2 linked regions of the Astyanax mexicanus genome follow. The protein of the gene in region 1 interacts with the protein of each later gene in a biochemical or structural test. Links are inferred from orthologs where the notes say so. Each region holds a gene or a part of one and is shown on either strand. Other genes may lie near its edges.

The links.
Region 2: the proteins of E3 ubiquitin-protein ligase NHLRC1 (region 1) and epm2a form a complex in vitro, tested with the Homo sapiens proteins (3 studies listed by BioGRID, with this or other methods). The link is inferred for Astyanax mexicanus from reciprocal best matches to the Homo sapiens genes NHLRC1 and EPM2A.

The regions. Positions count from the first base shown.
Region 1 is NC_064408.1:123,013,254-123,024,464, forward strand, and holds E3 ubiquitin-protein ligase NHLRC1, read left to right. Parts: upstream 1-5,742; 5' UTR 5,743-6,069; coding exon 6,070-7,398; 3' UTR 7,399-8,570; downstream 8,571-11,211. UniProt on the Homo sapiens protein: E3 ubiquitin-protein ligase. Together with the phosphatase EPM2A/laforin, appears to be involved in the clearance of toxic polyglucosan and protein aggregates via multiple pathways.
Region 2 is NC_064420.1:13,240,717-13,251,927, reverse strand, and holds the start of epm2a (laforin), read left to right. Parts: upstream 1-5,393; 5' UTR 5,394-5,679; coding exon 5,680-5,929; intron 5,930-11,211. UniProt on the Homo sapiens protein: Plays an important role in preventing glycogen hyperphosphorylation and the formation of insoluble aggregates, via its activity as glycogen phosphatase, and by promoting the ubiquitination of proteins involved in glycogen metabolism via its interaction with the E3 ubiquitin ligase NHLRC1/malin.

The sequences.
Region 1 (11,211 bases):
TAACTTTATGATTTACACTCCTGGTGCAAAAATTCTATTATCTCAGCTTGGTTCTTCCTCTTGATTATATTCCAGAGGTTTTCAATTTGGTCAAATAAAAGAAACTCATCATTTTTAAGTAGTTGTTCAGAGCTGTATATGTTTTTTTGATACTGTTATCAATAAATATGACCAAAATACAGTGTCTAAAACAATAGGATCAAAGTTAAATTTCATATTACTCAACAAATTACCAACTTAGTGTGGTTTAAGATTACATAACATGGGCACAAGTCATGGGACACCTGCTCATTCATTGTTTATTCTAAAATCAAAGGTATTAAAAAGAGTTAATCCTGATTTTGTTGGGGTAACTGTCTCTCTACTGTATGGGAAAGACTTTCTACTAGTCTGAAGAGCTTTAGAGCTTGGTCTTTATACCCCTCTACATAGACCACTCCTTGCATTAGCTTTAGCATGGGGCCAGTAGGTTGATGTTTGTACCTATTCTAATAATCAGAAGGGTCAGTGGGTGCAGTTTAAAGCTTGGTAAAGTGTTGGCGTATTCCTTTAATAATGAAATCAATGGATAAATTGTGTTTTGTGGAATAATATAACCTTTCTTCTGCAGCAGTTAATCAGAGAGGGTAGAAGCTTTACTCCACAGTAATGTGCCTGCATGAGTGTGTGTTCTAATAACTAACACTTTTATTAACGTTCTGTTCCTCTGTTCCTCTTCTAATACCGCCTCTTTTTTTTTCTCTGGTTTTAAGGTTATTGTGTCTGTTTGGTTTCAGGAGTGATCACAATAAGCAGGGTTATTTCAAACAGGCTTCAATAGGTTTAAAGTGATAGACCTCAAAAATGTTTGGACACACTTTATATTCTGTGATTTTTCACTGATTAAAAATGTTCTGTACTAAAGTCAATCCATTTTCAGATTCTTCAAAGTAGCTCCACTCCACCTGGAATTCAGGCTGATTTCAGTTAACAGCTGTGCTGAACTCATCAAGAGTTAATTACCTGAATTTCTTGTCTCTTAATAAAGTGTTTGAGAGCATCAGTTAAAGTAAAGTTGTGAAGAGGTAGAGTTGGTATACATCCATATTATGAAAAGAACTACTCAACTAAGTAAAGAAAATCCTCAAGTGCAGTCGAAAAAGACCATCAAAAATGTAATGATATAACTGGCACGCATCAGGACCGCCCAAGAAAAGGAAGAGCAAGAGTTTAGATGGTGTGTCCAAACATTTTCATGTTGGTTGAATGGTTGATTTATCATGATATTTTGATTTAAAAAAAAAACAGCAAAAATGAAGATAAATTTACATACACTATATGGACTAAAGTATTTGGACATTAATTGTATTAATTCCTGTTGGTTTAGAATGGTATATCTTCTTGATACTTTTGTCCATATACTGTAGATATCAAAAATTAGATTTTTCTCCAAACTATCGCTTTAAAATATCTTGTTAACTTCTTTGTAAAATTTCCCACGAAATGCACAGTCCTGATGACAATCCTGCTGCTGTTGGTTGTGGCCTGAGCCCCCACGCTTTATTGACTGAAGAAGTTTAGCTTTGCCTTCATTTGCCAAAATGTTCCGTTCACATCGAACCTTTTGTTTCTTTTTTTTGTTTGTTACTTTACCTTCTGTAAAAAAAAACAAAAAAAAAACGTTTAAAAAACATTTAAATGCCTTTTTCCCCCGACCCATATCCACTTACTACTTACAGAATCTCCGTTACCAGTAGAGCGAGCACCAGGATGTGTTTGCATTAACTTTACATATGTTACGTTTGCGGTGGTTTTAAACAGAGCGTCTACTTTAATCTGACAATGTCTGATTTAGAGAGTATTGGGCTACGTTCACACTGCTGATGAAAACGGCACAAATCTGATTTTCTTATCAAATCTGATGTTTTTAAGGTTTTTTGTTACCGAGTAGCATCACAGCACTAACACTCAGAGGAAAGTGCAGTAACGCGGTTCTGATAAATCAGCTCACAGATGCAGCTTTGTGCTGATCCACATCATCTAGGAGTGGTTATGGGAAAGAGCGCCTACTGTACCCACCAAGCGAGAGCGAAACAACTGTCCGGCGAACCGGCGATCTCCTAATCATAGTGGCAGCGCTTTAGACTGCTGGACCGCTCCGAGCCCTTGTTGACACAAATTGGATATTTATCTGATTTCACTTCTACTCATAAAATTGGTCCAAATCGAATCTGAACTGCAGATTCTCAATTAAGTGTGTTTATCGCTATCTGAAAATAAAATTCTAATTTGGACCGTTTTTGCAACACTTGTCACACGGGGTTTGAAAGCGCTTAAATCTAACTCCCTCAACCCAATCCGGTGCTTATTTTGGCTGTTCACATTTCTAAACTCACGCTTATGTTATAAAGAGCAGCGCTTCACATTAAGTTTCGGTTTCGTCTTCTCCAGCAACCGTGTGTGTTATTCAGCCATGCTGACTTCCTTGATTCTTAAGTTGGATTGAAGGATGTGAAATAAAAAAAAGCATCAATTCCACTCTGGCTACTTAGATTGAGTCGCATTGCCACGTTTTGGATATGTATCAGATTTCAGTACCACATATAAACATGTAAAAGTGGCCCAAATAGGAAAACTGAAGATATCAGATTTAATGCGTTTTTACGTTATTCAAAACGGTGGGAAATCATTCATTGCTTGAGAAATCAGATTTGGTCAAATTTGGCTACATTTACACAGCACACAACAGCAGGAAGTTGGCATACTGGAATTAAAAATGTCAGATTCAATGTGTTTTGTACCGTTCACACTGCCAAATGCCTAAAAACAACATTTGTAGTTGGGCTACGTTTACCTGCTGTGTTTAATGTAGCAATAAAAATTAAAAAAATCTTAGTTTCAATATGATTTAAGCCATATCTGGATGGGATTCTGGGGTAATTTTCTCTTTTATGGGGGGGGGTTTAATCCTCTGTGATTTTGTTCCCTTTCGGAACGACCATGTACGTGTTTTTCTCAGACGTCCTCTGAGAAAATTACAGGCTGAATTATCTACTGTTTTCCTGAACTCCGTGCTCCTCTGGTAATTTTAGTCCCGTTCAGATCCACATCTCAGAGTTTCGTCTACTCGCCTTTAATAAAATAGCTTTGTCCACTGCCGCGCACCATAATTACACTTTGGGCGCTTGGGCGTTTCCACGGAGATCCACACAACAGTGTAAAACACAACAGCGAGTGGAAATGGAGGAGCTACTGAACTCTGTCATGTGACTGAGAAAGCCTAAAAAAACCTCACTGGTCCTCCTGTGTTTTTCAGTTGCAGTCCAGATGCAGGAGTTTAATCACGGAGTAGAATTAAAGAGAAACTCCTGACCACTAATCATGACCAGATAGGGATTTAGTCTAAACAGCCCGAACAGAATTCACACGCAATTCATTGTTTTAAATCAAGGAGTAGGAAAAAAGAGGGCATTTTTGCTGCAACTTCACAGGAAAATACAAAGCTTTAAAAAAAGAAAGATTAACCCCAAGAACCATAGATTTTATATCCTGTATAAATCCTAATGCAGAAATATAACTGTAAATGATTTGGTAATGGTTTAGGTAAACGTAACTTGTGGAGATAAAACCGAAACTTGACGTGAAGCACAGTGTCAGTTTATGGGTGCATACATTTCAGACCAATGTTAGATATAGGTTGCATTAAAACAAACAAACAAGCAAAAAAAAACATCGGATTTGGTCAAAAATGTAAAAAGGCCACTGTACATGCAATGTGAATGCAGCCTTTATTTACGAGCAGAATACACTTTTAACATCTATAATCTTTTATGATTCGCATCTACATATCTTCACCACAGTTCATCCCACCTCCACCTGCTGCTGATTTTACATTGAGACTGGTTTGGTTTAGTGCAGCTAACACTAGTCAATATAAATATATAAATATATCTCCGTTTGGACCATAGCATGAGCTAGAAAACAGTAAAAATACATATTTCATACAGAAAAAAGAGAGTGTACATTTCAATATTACAACTTTTCTGTGTTTATAATGGATTTACACAACAGTAATATGTATGTTATTGTGTAGTTATGTACGTAATTGTTTGGATTTCACTGCATTTCAAATTAAAATTTCTTCTATCTGTGACTAGTTTCTCATTTTTTCCTTGTAATTTCACTCTCTGGCCACTTTATTAGAAACACGTACCTACATTACATTACCTTGTGCTTCCACTCACTGTATGGCCACTTTATAAGAAACACCTACCTACATTGCATTATCTTGTTTCCTCTCTCTGGCCACTTTATTGGAAACACCTACCAACATTATGTTTCCAGTAAGTACTTCTTCCACTTACTGGCCACTTTATTGGAAACACCTACGTACATTACCTTGTGCTTCTTCCACTCAGTGGCCACTTTATTAGAAACACCTATTTACATTACCTTGTGCTTTCACTCACTTTCTGGCCACTTTATTAGAAACACCTACCTACATTATATTGTGCTTTCACTCACTGGCCACTTTATAAGAAACGCCTACACACTGGCCACTTTTTAGAAACACCTACCTACATTACATTACCTTGTGCTTTCACTCACTGGCCACTTTATTAGAAACACCTACCTACATTATCTTGTGCTTTCAATCACTGGCCACTTTATAAGAAACACCTACACATTTGCCACTTTATTAGAAACACCTACCTACATTACCTTGTGCTTCCACTTACTCGCTGGCCACTTTATTAGAAACCCATATCTTGAGTTACTCAGTGCTTGTATCTGCTGGGACTGAATGGAGCAGCTGGGTGAAGCTGGTGAGATGAAAGTGTATCCGGTATGTATTTGGTCTCGAATGCCCTCTGATTGATGGGCTGTTTCGATGACCAGACAGTGTCCAGTGTCCCTCCTGGACGGAAATACACGGACGTCCTGCACACCCCGCTCATAAAGAGCTCAGGTTTCAATCTAAATTTACTGCAGATGTACTGTACCAAACAAATCCAGCAGCTCAGAGCATAGATCAGGTTCAATTAGGGGTGAAATGAATGATATAATTATAAAATAATAATACCCAATAATACTATAATAATGCAGAATAAGGGAGCACTTCAGTTTCTGAATCATTTCCTCTGATTTTGCTATTTATAGGTTTATGTTTGAGTAAAATGAACATTGTTGTTTTATTCTATAAACTACAGACAACATTTCTCCCAAATTCCAAAAAAAAAAAATTGTCATTTAGAGCATTTATTTACAGAAAATGAGAAATTACTGAAATAACAAAAAAGATGCAGAGCTTTCAGACCTCAAATAATACAAAGTTCATATTCATAAGTTCAGAAATCAATATTTGGTGGAATAACCCTGGGTTTTAATCACAGTTTTCATGCATCTTGGCATCATGTTCTCCTCCACCAGTCTTACACACTGCTTTTGGATAACTGTATGCTGCTTTACCCCTGGTGCAAAAAAATCAAGCAGTTCAGTTTGGTTTGATGGTTTGTGATCATCCATCTTCATCTTGATTATATTCCAGAGGTTTTCAATTAGATAAAATCAAAGAAACTCATCATTTGTATACCAGGAACACCCCACAAAAGACCTGCATGATGTTCTAGAGATTATCTATTCTGTTTGGTTCGTCTTCTCAAAGTGTCCCAGGTCTTTACGTCCATTTGTTCTTTTTTCCTTCTTCAACACATCAACTTCCAAAACTGACTGTTCACTCGCTGTCTAATATGTGGATCCCCTCCTTTGGCAGGAGCCACTGGAAGTATGAAATCAGAGTTATTCACTTTACCTGCTAGAGAACATGTTGGTTTAAATGTTATTCATGGCTTTGAAACACAAATATTCTTGGGATGTAATTCATCTTCTTGCCAATAGATGGAAGCAAATTACCTACATTGCTAGATTCCGACAGTCAGGATCACATGACGGAGAGAGAGGCATTCAGTAAATATAGAAACATGGTGTTGTAGCAGAACTTCAGCTTCTGCTTCTTCTTCTTTTTAATGGTTCTATCTGTTCTTTTCTTTTCCACACCAAAAATAATTGGACAAATTGGAGAAACTGGACATGTCTGAGACCCCTGCCTTCCAAACAAGCACCTCTGCCTCTAGAAGGGTAAAAGGTGCAGAGGAGGTTCTGCAGGAGATCCGCTCTGACCTGCTGGAGTGTAAGGTCTGCTTCGAAAGGTTCTCCTCAGACCAGAATGGGCGGAGACCTAGGAACCTGCCCTGTGGTCACGTGATCTGCCTGGCATGTGTCTGTGCCCTGGCACACCCTGTCTTGCGCCAACTGGAGTGCCCTTTCTGCAGGCGCTTGTGCGATATCGGGGGCACCTACGACTGCCAAGCCTTGCTTGACCTTCAGGACCTGGTTGCTTCGGCTGGAATTCCAAGCTGTTCAGCCAACAGAGTTCCTGGATCAGGCCCATCTTGCTCTGGTCATCCATGCCCAGAAGGAATGGGACCACAAGCCAGTGCAGAATCGCCAGGTTTGCTCGTCCAGATGCATCTTCGTGCCGCTTTTGGAGGCTGGGGTACACTCATCAACCCAACTGGGGTCGCAGTACTCGAGCCATCAATGGCATCAGTGGTGGTGGTGCACGGGGGCCATGAGAAGGTCAACATCTTCAACTCTCAGGGTCACTATTTGCACAGCTTCGGTTGTTACGGTCACAACCGTGACCAACTGTGCCACGTTCTTGATGTTGCAGTATCTACCAGTGGTCATATTGTTGTGACCGATGCTGGAGACAGTTCAGTGAAGGTCTTTACTTCAAGCGGACTTCCTTTGGCAACTATCATTGGGCCGTTTGAGCTTCCATGGGGAGTTGACATCAACAACTGTGGGCACATTCTCGTGACAGACGCTCAAGCTGGCAAACTTTGGCAAATAAAGGTGGACTTTGGACAGAATGTTGTCTCAACCAAGATGGTGGTTCTGCAAGACCTTCAATGCCCAAGAGCTGTAGTGTCATGTAAAGTTTCTGGGTGTGTTGCAGTCTTGGAGCACATGGAGGTCCAAAGACGCCACAATGGAGGTTCTGCAGCAACTCGACTAAAGCTGTTCAGCCAAGACTTTGTCCTCCTAACTTTGGTGGACAGTTCAGGCTTGAGCCAGATGTCCTCAATGAAGCTGAACATCTCCTACGTCACCTTTGACAGACATGGAAATGTCATTGTGGCTGATTCCCAACAAGGCACCGTATGGAGTTTGGGGGACCTGGAGACGACGACTGTGATGACTGCACTGGTCCAGGATGGACTGGTGCGTCCAGTAGGTTTAGTAGCAACTGAGCAGAACTCTCTGATCGTCTTGGACAGTGGAGATCACACTGTGAAGATCTACTCAACCAGCGCAGAGAACTCAAACTGTGCGAAAACCATCAAATCGATCTGAAAATGTCTTGCTGTTGCTCTTGATTGTCTTTTGGCTTGTACTGATAACCCAACGGAACCTTGCTTTAACATCCTGCATACATAAAAATAACTTGTGGCCACAGCTTAGTTAGCAAGTTCTGGTATTGGAACTATTTGATTATACTATGGCCATAATTTGTTAAGGTGTAGAAAAGAGATTAAACATAATTAAGATAATTAAGTCATAGCCACAACTTTAGTAAGGCAATGAAATTTAATAATTAAGCCAATTGACTGATAGCTACAACTTAATTATATAGGAACAAAATATTAAGTTGTGGCCACGACTTGGTGAGCTGTGGAAATTAAATAATTAAGTTATGGCCACAACTTAGTAAGACTTGGGAAAGAGATCATCACACTGTAATGCCAATTTGGTAGTTATTTTATAGCCCCAAATGAGTAAGGTATGGGAACAAGATAATTATTCTGTGGCAAAAACTTAGTAAGACATAGTAACGATGTAATTCATGTCAATTAGTGGCCACAACTTAATAAATTATGAGAATGTATTGAAAATTATGTTGTGGCAATGATTCAATATGTTGTGGGGATGTCAAGACTTACTAAAATACGGGACTAAGATAATCAAGTGAAGGCCACAACTTAAAGCCATAGTAAGCCATGTTAATGAGATAATTATGTTGTGGCCACAATTTAATAGGCTATAATAATAAGATAACGTCTTGTTTCTTGGCTACAACTAAATAAGTCATGGAAAATAATCATTATGTTGTGGCCGCTACATAGTAAGATGTTGGGATAGACACAGTAGTTGTAGACACAACTTTTTACCATGTGGTAACAAGATAATTAAATATTGTGACCACAACTTAGTAAAGCATAGGAATTAGATAAGTAATGGCCACAGTTTAGTAGCATGTGAGAAGATTTGGGTTCCGATCTCTTTACTAATGTGTGTCTTTTTTAACAATTTAACAAGTTGTGGCCACAACCTATTTTATAGGTATTTGATGCATATGTAACTTATTTATTAAAACTTTGAAATTAACCAATACTTGGAATATGGAAGTATTTGCACTAATTTATAAACTGTCAATGAACTGTAGAACCTGGAATTAACTGGATTCAGGTATTAAAGAGAAATACATAAAATATCGGTTTGAATTCATTTATTCTGTGCTTTAAACTTTATATATAAATAATTTACATTATTAAAGAAGCTTACACAGTACTACTGATACTATACGCTGTAACTATATTGGGCCACTTACTTTATGTTTATTTGGATTTATTATTCTAATGTTATATAGAGTTAATTACAGGTAGACACTCTCTGATCACTGACTTTATGTTTATTTGGGTTTAGATATGTAATACGTTTTACATGCAAATAAAAATTTGTTAAAATTACATTATTAAAAGTTTTAGACTATTTTTGTAACTGAGATCAGTGGCGAATCAGGCTTATATTTTTGGCGGTACTCTGACAAAAATGATAAATAATTAATCAGCAAATCTAAAATCTGAATAATTTAGTATGTCATAGCGGAGTTGTTGAGTAGATCAAAGTTTTTATAGCTGTAAAAGTAATCTAAACCTGTGGATAAAGATCTAAAAGTGTGGATAAAAGTCGGTAAAGGTCTGAAGAAGCCCTAGTTGACCAAGGGCAGTTTATTGAGTGGCCGGTAGTTTAAGCCACTCTAGATATGATTATCTATCTATGATTATCTATGTGTATTTATATAGAGTTAATTACAGGTAGATAAAATCACTGACCAATGAGTTTACAATTATTTGGGTTTATTCTAATGTTATATAGAATAAATTCTTACAACTGACTTTTGTTTATTTGAGCTTATTTTACTTTATATATAGAGTTAATTAAAGTTAATTACGGGTAGATACTCTCACTGATCACTGACTTTATTAATGTTTATTTGGGTTTAGTTTTCTAATGTTATATAGAGTTAATTACAGGTAGACACTCTCACTGATCACTAACTTTGTTTATTTGGGTTCATTCTAACGTTATAAAATTTTACAGGCAAATAAAAGTTAGTTTTAATGTCATTATTAAAAGTTTTAGACTACTTTTGTGACTGAGATAAGTGGCTGGCCAGGCTCCTGTTTTGGGGGTACCCTGACAAAGTGTATAAATAATGAATCAGCAAATCTAAAATCTGCATAATTTACTAAATTATAGTAGAGTTTTACAGGTAGACACTCTTACTGACCACTAACTTTGTTTATTTGGGTTCATTCTAATGTTACGTAGAGTTAATTCTTACAACTGACTTTATGTTTACTTAGGTTCATTCTCATGTTACATAGAGTTAAGTCTTACAACTTACTCTATATTTATTTGAGCTTATTTTACGCTATATGTTATATAAATTTATTAACAGGTGTACACTCACTGATTGCTGACTTCATGTTTATTTAAGTTTATTCTATTGTTATAAAGTTACGTTCTAAAGTTTTACAGGCAAATGTCGTTAAAACAAACTTTTATTTGCCTGTAGAACTACTTTTGTGAATGAGATAAGTGGCTGGTCAGGCTCATAGTTTGGGGATACCCTGACAAAACGTATAATTAATGAATCCGCAAATCTAAAATCTGCATCATTCACTAAATTATAGTGGAGTTGTGGAGTAGATTAAAGTTTATAAAGCTGTAAAAGTGATGTAAAACCGTGGATAAAGATCTAAAAGTGTGGGTGGCGGTTCATGGAGTGGCTGGTAGTTTGTATTGATATAGAGTTAATTACAGGTAGACACTCTCACCGACCACTCACTTTGTTTATTTCGATTAATTCTAATGTTATATTGAGTTAATTCCTACAACTGTCTTATGTTTATTTGGGTTTATTACAGGTAGACTCTTTCACTGATCACTGAGTTAGTGTTTATTTAGATTTATTCTGATGTTATATAGAGTTAATTCTTACAACTGACATTATGTTTAATTATGGTAATTTTTATTTTCTATGTAATATAGAGTTAATTACAGGCAACCTTAGATACTCTCACTGACCACTTTATGGTTTATGTTTATCTGGATTTAGTATTCTAATGTTATACAGTTATATAGAGTTATATAACAAAAAACAGATATGAGCAACTTTTGTGACTGAGATAAGTGGCTGGTCAGGCTCATATTTTGGGGGTACCCTGACAAAACGTATAAATAATGAATCAGCAAATCTAAAATGTGCATTATTCATTAAGTTTTTGTAAAGTTGTTGAGTAGATTAAAGGGTTAGAATGTGTAAAAGTGATGTAAAACGTGGATAAATATATAAAAGTGTGAATAAATGTGGGTAAAGGTGAAGAAGGCAAGGAGGCCTGGTTGACCGGGGGGCAGTGCACCAGTGCACGGGGTGGCCGGTAGTTTGAGACGCCGGAGACCCCGCTGTATCCCCGGGGAGCGGAGCTGCAGTCCCCCGCTGAGCTCTCCCTCGCCTCGGCCGTGTTTTCCGGCGGTGTTGGGGGGTGTTTGGAGTTTGTGCGGGTAGTTAAGGGTTTTTATAAAGTTCTCCGGGTGTTTGAGGAGCGGTTCGTGGTGGAGTTGGGGGGTTTGGAGCGGGTGAAGAAGCGCTGGGCAGGGTTTCCACTGGAGAGAAGTGTGGAAGATGGCGGTCTGGATGCTGAGAGGAGCCGGAGCCGGAGCGGCGCTGCGGCTGTTTTCGGGCAGATAGCGGGCTGGAAACTGCGGGGGAATGCTCGGGTTGTGATTATTTCTCTTGCCGGGAATGGTGGGCTTCTTTTCAGGTGGGATTTTCCACCGTTTAGCCTGCAGAGACTTCAGGAGAGGCTGTTTTATGAGCGG
Region 2 (11,211 bases), on another chromosome or scaffold:
CTACAGTCTAAAGAGGGAACTGTGTTTTAACAAAGAGAAAATGTGTTTTAATTCAGGGAAACTGTTATGGTGGAATGGAAATAAAAATAAGAAACTAAAAGCTTCATACGCTGCAGTAGATCAAGTGAGGAATTAGTTATTTAGATGAGTAGTTTTACAGTACAAAATTTTAAAAGTAACTTTTATTAGGCTACTTTGAATACTAAGTATTATTATCACCCTATCTATTAAGGTCTCACTCGCGGGCTCCCTTATTTGATATAGCGGGAAAAAAATTAAGTGGCCACCCAGATAGCAAAAGGACAATGAATCAGCGTTATTTTTTCCATCTCTCACACATTAAAACACCATTGATATCTAAAGTCAATATTTATTTTTTGTACACAACGATTTTACATTAATTCAACATTATGGTTGAATATGTATGGTTTGTATTAAACTTTGCTTACATTAAATATGTATGTATTGTTTGTATTCTGTTTGTATATCTTGTACTTTGGGTATGCAGTTTAGAAAGGGACATTTAAATAATAATTATCAAAATCAAAATAGTTATTTGCGGGGAGCACCTTTCACCTTTGCCAGGTTCTTAATGATTTGCCTGGTTAACCCTCCTGTAATGTTCATTTGTCAGGAACAGCAGTGGTGTTCCCGGGTCAGTTTGACCTGGTGCATGTTTAATTTTCCAAAAGATGTCTGAAACCAAACAAATCCTAACAAGCAGTGTGAATATTTCATTACTAACTTAATTTCTAATTTTTCCATCAATATTTATTGCAATGGTGTTCCTTACCTCCTTTTTTCCTTTTTAATGTTTCGCTACTTTATTACTTTTGAAAGAACAACAAATAAAACACAGTAGTTCCTGTTTTTGCTATGGAGGGTTATTTGTGACAATATTATAAAAATAAATGAATAAAGAAATAATTGCTTAAAACATTAAGTAAATATTTAAATGAATATTTAATTACTTAATTTTTTTGTTTATTTAAATATGAAAATGAAGCATAAATAATTAAATGTTTCGTTAGTTAATGGATATATTTGTATTTCATTAAATATTTAACTTAAAAAAATGTATATGACGACTCCCATCGATGCTGACTGATTGCTCCGGCCTGCTGTGATTGTTTTCCTCAGCATGGCGGCTCTCTTCGTGGATCTGCAGGACATTTCTCGGGAGTTGGTTAGGAATATCTTACGGCAAGCTGAGGAAACTGAATCAGGGGCTACAGCCCCAGACACTGTCACTGATCAAACACACGAGGTTATAGAGGCTTGATAGAGCTGCTCTCGAGCATCTGTAATCGTTCTTTTATGACTTACTGTGCAATCTAACCAATCAGTCTGCATCGATGAGAGTTAGGCCCGCCCACAGAGTTTGATGGTTGATGTTGACAGATATTTTTTTTTTTCATAGTGCATGAAATAATGAAATACATATTTAAATAATGAATTAAATTATTTAAGTTAAACAATTATTTAAATCTAAATATCACAGTCAACTATGAAATAAATTTATAATTAAATAAATTAATAATTTAATTAATTAAATCTCATTTTAAATATTTATTTAGCGTTTTAATCAATTATTTCTTTATTAATTTACTGATATCATAATTTCACAAATAACCCTCCATATTTTGCAGGGTGTGGTTGCACATTTAACCCATAATATAACAGGAGGGTTAAATTACAGGTTAAATTAAAAAAAGAAATACAGAAAAAAAACTAAAAGCATTGTAAGATTAGAAAAAAGATAAAAGAAAAGAAAAACAATTTAAAACCTTTAAAAGAATACTGATTCTATGTAAGTGTTTCAACAATAATACCACTAGGCAATGTTAAATAAAAAGGTGTTTAATAGTTGTTTTTCCATCATAAACCAAAAAAATGTGGTAAATGTGGTAAATGAAGAGAATGTGATTTTTTTTATATCTTGTTTCAGTGTTTAATATTTATGTGTTTTAATAAAATAATATTTTAATTAATACTACTAACAACAACAAACACAACAACAACAACAACAATAATAATAATAATAATAATAATACCTTAAAGTAAATTTCTTATGAATTAAATTAATATTCGAAAAGGTAACAAGCCACCAAACTTTGCTAAACTTTTTCTGCCTCTTTCTTTTAAAGTCTATCCCTCAGCATGCGGATCTTCTACACCAGGATACAGTACAGTTTGAATTATACATAAAGTTTTCTGCTAAAATTCTAAAAAAAAAAAAAAAAAAGAAGCTAAATTAAGAAGCAGAAGAAAAAAAAGGAAGATGAAAAATAAGGAAAAGAATAAGAATATACTTCAAAGTAAATTCCAAAGTTTTTCTTAAATTAATTAAATGAATAGCTGACAGCATTAACAAATCACATTAACTGTCCCACGCTCTCGCCTGTCTGCAATAAAAATAGCTAAACTTTCTGGAGACTGGGGTTTAGATACTGTTGTTACCCAAACACCCAATCTAACGTTTTGATTATTTATCACCTGCAAATGCGCATACCGTAGGAGACGAAATAAGCCGCTTAAAATCCACCTGTAGTAGGCTTCCAACGGAGGGTACATCAGTGTATCCTACTCCAGAAGACTTTTAAGGATTTTCCAATGACATCACTGCATCCACGCCCACAGAGCACGCGAAAATGGGGAAGGCAACACCCAAATATACGTCATAAACATATTAATTAACTAGGTTCCTTATCTAATTAAACAGCCAGTAAAGCAGTAACATAATTTATAGTTTAGATAAACTGTATGCTCAGTAAAACTATATTTATGACCCTATGTGTATCATGTTATACATATAAAAACATATATTATTTATAATATATATATATATATATATATATATATAATTTTTTTTTTACGAATTAATTTTATTTAATTTATTCATTTATTTACTTATTTATTTTAACTTAGGGACTGATGAGGAAACTGTGAGCGTTGTGATTGGCTCAGTTCAACGGTAGTCAACATCCTATCTAAAAGGGATCAGCTGTCCCATTTCCCCAATTACAGCTCCTTCCCTCCATTCCTCCTCCTCCTCTCCTCTCCTCGATTCCTCCACCTTCTTCCGGGGTAGGAGAGGAGGAGTAGCAAAAGTTTCTGGACGCAGCCACTGAGTACATTTTCCCTGGGATGTCTATACAACAAAACTAAACTACTATATCACACATCACATGATGGGTCACTGAATATATATATATATATATATATATATATATATATATATATATATATATATATATATATATATATATATATATATATATATATATATATATATATATATATTTTTTTTTAATTGAGTGCCAGAATGTACAATATTTTGATAGCAATGCATCTAGCATCAGAAATAGACTGCACAAAAATATTAAGGGTCTGTTGGTTGTTCCCCACCACACATAAGGAGTTGAAAAGAGGAGCATCTCTGGAGTTATTAGAAAACTCAGTGACCCCAGAACACATAAGTATTTTGTTTGGAGCCACTGAACTGTGGTCCATTCTGTTGTAGCCTTTACTCAGAAAGGTCAGTTGTTTGGTTGAGTGAGTCTACACAATATATGTTTCCTGAACCTGATTTTGCTTGTTGTACCACACCAAAAGCCAACTCTTCATGTCTATTTGTGGCTTTTCCTGAGGCTGGTGTCATTGACCAGGGAATCTATGTTAATAAATTTTTACTTAAAGGCAGCTTATAAGGAATAAACCAGTTAATAAAATCTAATTAAAAAGGTTGGTCATTAAGCCCAGATGCATGTAATAAGTCATGATATTTTTGGGTTAAGCTTCTATAGTTATTAACATGATATAGTCTGGGCAGTATTTTTATATATTTTAATTTATTTTTGGCAGGTAGTTGTACGATGGACTGGCCATTGTAAACAACTAGACAATAAATGGCACATTATGCAGATAAAAATGAAGTTTTAATGTTGGCTTAGCTGTTTAAATCTATTCATGGTGTTTGAATAAATAGGTAAAAAACAAAAAAAGTAAAATTTTGTCAAATGTTATCCAAAATCTGAGGACAGTATAAATCCTGTGTTTGATAGCAATGTAAGCCAATAGCTTCTCCTGTTTTCAAGTAAATAAGGACATTTCAGTTTTTTAATGTCTTAGGCCTGTACTGGACATCCCTTGTGTAGACCACTGATGCTGACACAGGCATCACAGCTTTTTTACCATGCTAAAAAATTATGGTGATGTGTACCGCACCCATCCAACATGCACATGTGGGCCACAAATGGCTGTAATGTGGGCTAGGTGCGTTTCATTGGGCTTTAGATGGGCATGAGTGAGATTGTATATGTGTTTTTACTGGGACCCAGCCTGTCTCACCATTAAAGTCTTAATCTCACATGTGTCCTAATCTCACATGTGTCCTATCTAGGTCCTGTGTGCATTGTACAACCCAGATGGGGCCCATGTTTAACCCCTTCTGGTCCCATTAATAATCCTGATTGGGCCCATCACTGACATCTACATGTGGTGCCAACATGGAACCTGATGAAAAAAAAAAACATCTAGATCCCATTGGGGCTAGTTACACAGGTCCCACAAGGGCATGCTATCTGGACTGTGCTACGACTAATAGGGATTAAAGGAGAAATACAGTGTGAAATGAACTTGGTTGTAGTAAATCATGATAACAAGAGGGATTGCCCTCATCATGAGTTCTCAAGTTTACCAAGACATTTTGCAGGACCTTAACCCAGTTGAGATGCTGTGGCATGACCTAAAGAGAGATTTACACCAGATATCCCAAAAATATTGCTGAACTGAAACAGTTTTGTTTGGGGAATGGTCCAAAAATTCCTCCTGATTGTTGTGCAGGTCTGATCTGTAGCTACAGGAAACGTTTGGTTGAGGTTATTTCTGCCAAAGGAGGGTCAACCAGTTATTAAATCCAAAGGTTCGCATATTTTCCACTTGTCCTGTAAATGTTAACATGTTGTGTTTAATAAAACCATGAAAACATATATATTTATTATTTTTTAAGCATACTGTGTTTGTCTATTGTTGTGACTTAGATGAAGATTAGAACCCATTAATGACCAAATTATACAGAAATCCATGTAATCCCAAAGAGTTCACATACTTTTTCTTGCAACTGTATATTATATAGCTGACGAATACAGTGATCAGAAGTAAATCAGAAGAAGAAAACTATTTTTAAAATATTTTTAATCACATATTTAAAAATGCTCACCTTACAGGATCATTTTACATAAATAATCATTTCAGTGATTATAACAGTAACCTTCCTGTCCTCTAGCTGTTGCTAGTCTGCAGATTTACTCTCTAATGCATTATGGGAATTGTAGTTTTTAGCGAGCGTGTTCAGGGCCGGCTGCGTTGTAATGCGTCGGTTTAAAAACTACAACTTAAACAAAACAAGCGAGCTGAACCCACACGAGTATCTGAGTTTAACAGAATTTAACAACCATCCAGAAGGTTAAATACAATAGGTTTAAGCCTTCATTAATAAATAATCATTAATCAGACAGCCGTTATTCTCGCAGCTCGAGCGGAACGCGGCAGAGCTCCTGTGCTGGCGGTATTTTTAGCTCCGGGTTTTTCTCCGCTGCTCTTTAATGTCAGAGGTCTCTCACACACCGGCTCTATAGACCCGGACTGAACCCGCGCTGCTCTCAGTCCCTGTTAGAGATGCTGGTTTTCAGGTTCGGGGTGATTCTGACCCCCGCCCGCCCGGACACGGAGGTGTTTGTGCTGGGCTCCCGCCCGGAGCTCGGCCACTGGAGCCCCGATAAAGCCGTCCGGATGAGCGCGGCGCGGCCGCTGCTGTCCACCCGCGAACCCTGCCTGTGGACCGGCCAGGTGCAGCTCGCCGAGCCGTTCACCGACAAGCACTGGTTCAAGTTCATACAGCGGGTCGACGGGAACTATGTGTGGGAAGGTATCAACATATAATCCTCAGTACTCACATATTCAACCGAGTGGACTTTATTAATACATTATATATATATATATATATATATATATATATATAAACAATAACAACCTCAAAACTTGAAGCCACATTTTATAACAAGAATTTATTATACAATTCCTCTTGTATATACTCATTTATCTATTTTTGTCATAGTCATACAATTTACACCCTACTTTTGAAATAAAAGGCAGACTGGATATAATTTTTACTGTAATATAATTTTGAAGTAATTTACATTCTGAAAACATTGAGGGCTTTGGGGTCTCCTACAAGATTGGGGGTCTCCTAAAAGGAGAAGCTTCCTGTTCACACATTTTTGATCAATTACACAAATCAACCCAAATTCTGCATGTTTGAAAAAACATATAAAAACTAGACAACCATAACAAAACAAACTGTTTGGAGGACATGAAATGTTTGATTTGTATTCAGAAAAAATTTTTGATTTTATGATTTTTATTCAGTATACAGTATTTTCAAATTGACTTTAAATATTTTATATTACATTCACAATTAGGATTTTTAGTAATGTTTTTTTCAAACATGAAACCTTTATATGTGATGCTTGAATAGAAATCCTCTAGATACAGTCCTCGGAAGCTTTGCTGTGTGTGAAAGAGCATTTTCCTGGAAACCCTGAATCACATTGCTAAGCTGTTAGTTTTCCTCATATTTCTACTGCAGGTAGCCGACTGTTGTATGTGATGGCCCCCTAGGTTACAACCAGGGGCAGATCTAGCCATTTTGGGTCCCTAGGCAAAATATAAACAAGGGGCCCTAATTCTTAAAACACACACATAAACCAAATAACTAGAAATGGAACGATCGATCGGCAGTGTATCGGTATCGGCTGATTTTCAGCCAAAATACGGTATAGGCGATCGGCAGATATTCTTCTGATTTTAGCCAATCTGATTCAGGAGTTTACGGTTAAGCAGTTAATCAGAGCTCTGTACCAGGTTTGTCTGCCACCTGTGTGGCATTAATGTGGCATTTGGCCCCAACCAATATCAGTATCGGCGATCGGCCGATCGTGGTGAAAGGTGATCGGCGATCAGAATCGGCCCCAAAAACACTGATCACTGATAAAAAAGGAGGTGAATTTTGGCAGTGCATCTGCGATTCTTTTGCTCTCTGTCCGTTTCTTTAGTTTAGCAGAACCACTTTCATAACTCCGCTTCATTTTCACTGTGACAGCTCTCACTCTAGTCGCGTACAGTTCCCGCTGTTTTGGTTTAAAGTCACGTCGTGTGGCACATTGCTACGTCATCATATTATGGACTAGTTCAATGCAAGCAACGGAGGGGGGGGTATGTGTGTTTGGACCATTAGTATTTAGACATTAACTTGGTATTCTACTGATATTTCTGTTGTTTTTTTAATAAAAATATGTTTTTTCTTTTCTTTACATAAGTAACAAATTAAAATTGTTTTTGGTGTATTTACTGTAGCTGGGATGGTCAGATTTGGGGGCCCCTATGGAGGACAGATTTGGTTGAGGCCCTAGGCAAATGCCTAGGTTTGCCTAATTAAAGAACCGCCTTTGGTTACAAAACCAGGCAGGATTGAAAATCAGTTTAAAAAATATGTATCAAAATCACAGATGAATTAGCCAGAGGCAGAGCATAATAAAGTTAAAACATGTGAATTTGTTGTAAGAACCTCCTTGTTAAATATATGGAAATAGGTTAAATATATAAGGAAATAGAAGGGAGTGTTGTCATCTGTGTTAGAATTAAAATAATTTAACATATTTCTAGTTATGTAAATCAGACATTACGTTCTGCAGTGTTTACTAAGCTACACTGCTGGGCAAAATAGGGGCTGAAAAATTCTACATAAAATGCATCAAATGCTTATTGTCTTTGTCAAACTGTCAAAATGTATTTGAAAAAACTGCACATTTAATTTGTTCACTTTTTTACAAAATGTGACTGTGTCAGTTTTATCATTTTTATCATTTGATTGCTTTTTGGTAATCTGACAGTGTCTAAATTAGGGGTCCAAGCACCGTAGGTGTTGGAACCCTATTGGAATTGCTCAGAGTTTTCTTATTATTATTTTTATTCTTTAAAAAATGTTGTAGAGCAGTATTGAAGGTCATCCAAACTTTAAATTTGGCAGAGAGGTACTGTAATGTACCCACTACTCAGGCAAAAGAAATGACCTAAGTTGGCCTGATGGTGGCACTATAAAGCAATGTTTTGAATTTGGGTTAGTATCTCAGCAACTGTGACATGTAGAGTGAAACATTTTGAATCTTATTCCGGCAAGTTTTCTGCATTAACGACTCATTGTAAGTTTTTAGCTCCGCCCACATCCACCACTGCCATATTTAGCAAAATCTACAAAACATATTTTTTCTACTGTTTGTTGATTTTTAAATTATATACATATATTATTATAGACAATATAGGTATCAAAATGTTCAGCAGAGTGATTTTGATCAAGATTTATTTAAATGTTCATATTTATTAACATTGCTGCTATATGCAAATTAGTCATCCTGGGGTGGAGATTAGTTAAGATAAATGGCTTAAAATCAAGATTAAGAGTTAAGATTAAAATTAAGAGTTTTGCTAAACACATAATTCTTTGAAAGGCATTCAGGTTTCACCCCAATTAAACGATAGGTGGTGCTATAAAAACAAAAAAAATGTTTCTCAATAACTAGGGTTCCAATTAAGTGAGCATTTTGTCTCCTCTGATTGGTCAGAGCTGTCTGTCGCGGGAGCAAGAAAGTAAATATTGTGAGAAGATTCTGTGTTCCAGGGTGTATATATGTGCAGTGACAGTGCTGCTTTAACACAGAACACTGAAAATTTGCTGCTGTGCTTTTAAACAAACTGTTTTCAACGTGACGTGCAGCATGGCAGCAAGTAGTGAACGCTGCACATATCACCCTCAATGTGAACAGCATGGAGCATCAGAGACTGTGTTTGTTCATAGCAGTATATTATCTGGCTAATATGTCAGATTAAACTGCATTTTATCAGCAGTTTAGCTCGATTAAAAAGAAGTATATTTGATCACATTTTCACCACATGCGAACCCCTCCATGGGCAAATTACAGGGGGAGTTGGGGTCAAACTTGGTGGCTTAACTAATTACGTAAAATATAAATACCGCATTATTGATTCCAAATTATTCGCATCAATGCTTTAATGTTGACAGCCCTAAAACAAACACAATGGATGATAACATAATCAACAAAATAAATAGGGTCATAACTATTTATTACGCCGTAATTGCTGCTGTCATTTTACTTTATTTAGAATGACAATACCGTAGACATGTTGTGAACAAAGTGTCCATTAGTTGGTCCCTTCAGCACTGCCCTATCAGGGTGTGAGGATTTTGTCTCCTAAGGGCCCTGCAAAGACCTCATTTATGCTCTTTGGACAGTGCTGTCATACTCAGGCTATCAGGCAGACTTCCCAGGCTATCAATTCTAGGCTTGGCTCAAGCATTAGAATGACATGTCTGAGTTTTCCCAGCAGGCCTCATCAAATCTGAAGACCAGTCAAGCGTATGTTCGTCACCAAGACTTTTTAAATGATGTTTAGTCTGTGTGAATGACTAGAACTAGTTCATAAAGAACTAAGAAGCTTTATCATCTTCAGTATGCTAAAATTCATCATTTATGGCATTTGGGATTCTCTGTGGGCCAACTGGCCAAGTAGTTGGCCAAAGTGTGGCTGATTACAACCCTATTAGGTTAATGCACAACACTTAACACCCAGAGTATTAATGCACTCATATACTGATCAGTTATAGATCATATAAATTTATTACATGCTTGAGTCCACAGCATATGCTGTCTATTATTTTAATGTAGATCTGACTGTTTCTGCATTTTAAAGCATTTTTTTATATTTTGACATAATGTGAATTAGACAGTCACTCCACTTTTGGACATAATGGGAATCTGGTGTTAAACTTAGCAGCTAGGTTGCTATTAAGAGAAATTCTAAACTACCAGCACAGAGTACTGTGTATTATTTATATGAGAGAAAATTATATCAAAACAAATCAAAATGTTTTGCCAACGTACCTGGTCTAGTATTTATTAATATAAATATACAGCTCTGGAAAAGATTAAGAGATCACTTAAGTTTCTGAATCAGTTTCTCTTATTTTGCTACAGGTTTATGTTTGAGTTAACTTAACATTTTTGTTTTATTCTATAAACTCCTGACATTTCTCTTAAATATCAAATAAAAATATTGTCATTTAGAGCATTTATTTGCAGAAAATGAGAAATGGCTGAAATAACAAAAAAGATGCAGAGCTTTCAGACCTCAAATAATGCAAAGAAAACAAGTTCATATTCATAAAGTTTTAAGAGTTCACAAATCAATAATTGGTGCAATAACCCTGTTTTTAAATCACAGTTTGCATGCATCTTGGCATGTTCTCCTCCACCAGTCTTACACACTGCTTTTGGATAACTTCATGTCAATTCTGGTGCAATAATTCAAGCAGTTCAGCTTGGTTTGATGGCTTGTGATCATCCATCTTCCTCTTAATTATATTCCAATTGTTTTCAATTTGGTAAAACCAAAGAAACTCATAATTTTTAAGTGGTCTCTTATGTTTTTCCAGAGCTGTATATTAATTTAAGTGTGCATTTCTTTTTTTATATCAACAACAATAATAATAACAGTAATGGACACAAAACAAGCTTTTTGTCATGGTTTGTACAGAATGCAGACACGTACAGATACTGATAAAACAATGTTTATTATAGAATAAACAAAGGTAGATCGTGGTCGGTACAGAAAAACAGGTGATCACCAATAACAGGAGCAACGTAGACAAAACCATACCATAACCATGAAACAGTCCAGAGTTCATACCAGCAGCAGATATCCAGCAGCAGAGATAATCCAAGAGGCAGTAGTGAAAACACAGTCCAGGTCAAACACAAAAAAAATCCAATATCAGAGGCAAAGGCAATAATCAGCGTCGAGAAAACAAAAGGCAAGGTCATACACGAAAAAAGCAGAGACAGGTAATTCAGAAACGCTTCGTAATGATGTAGAACCAACAATACTAGTGGGTGTGTGTGTGTGGTGTGCTCTTATATAGTGCCAGTAATCAGTATTCAGGATATCCTGGAGGAAGCAGGTGAGGTGTCATGTGATCAGGTGTGTGTGTGATGTCAGCGGGTGGTGCGTTCTGGGTAGTGTAGTTGTTAGACTGAGAGCCTCCGTTGGAGCTGGGTGTGGAAGGGACAGAGGAGC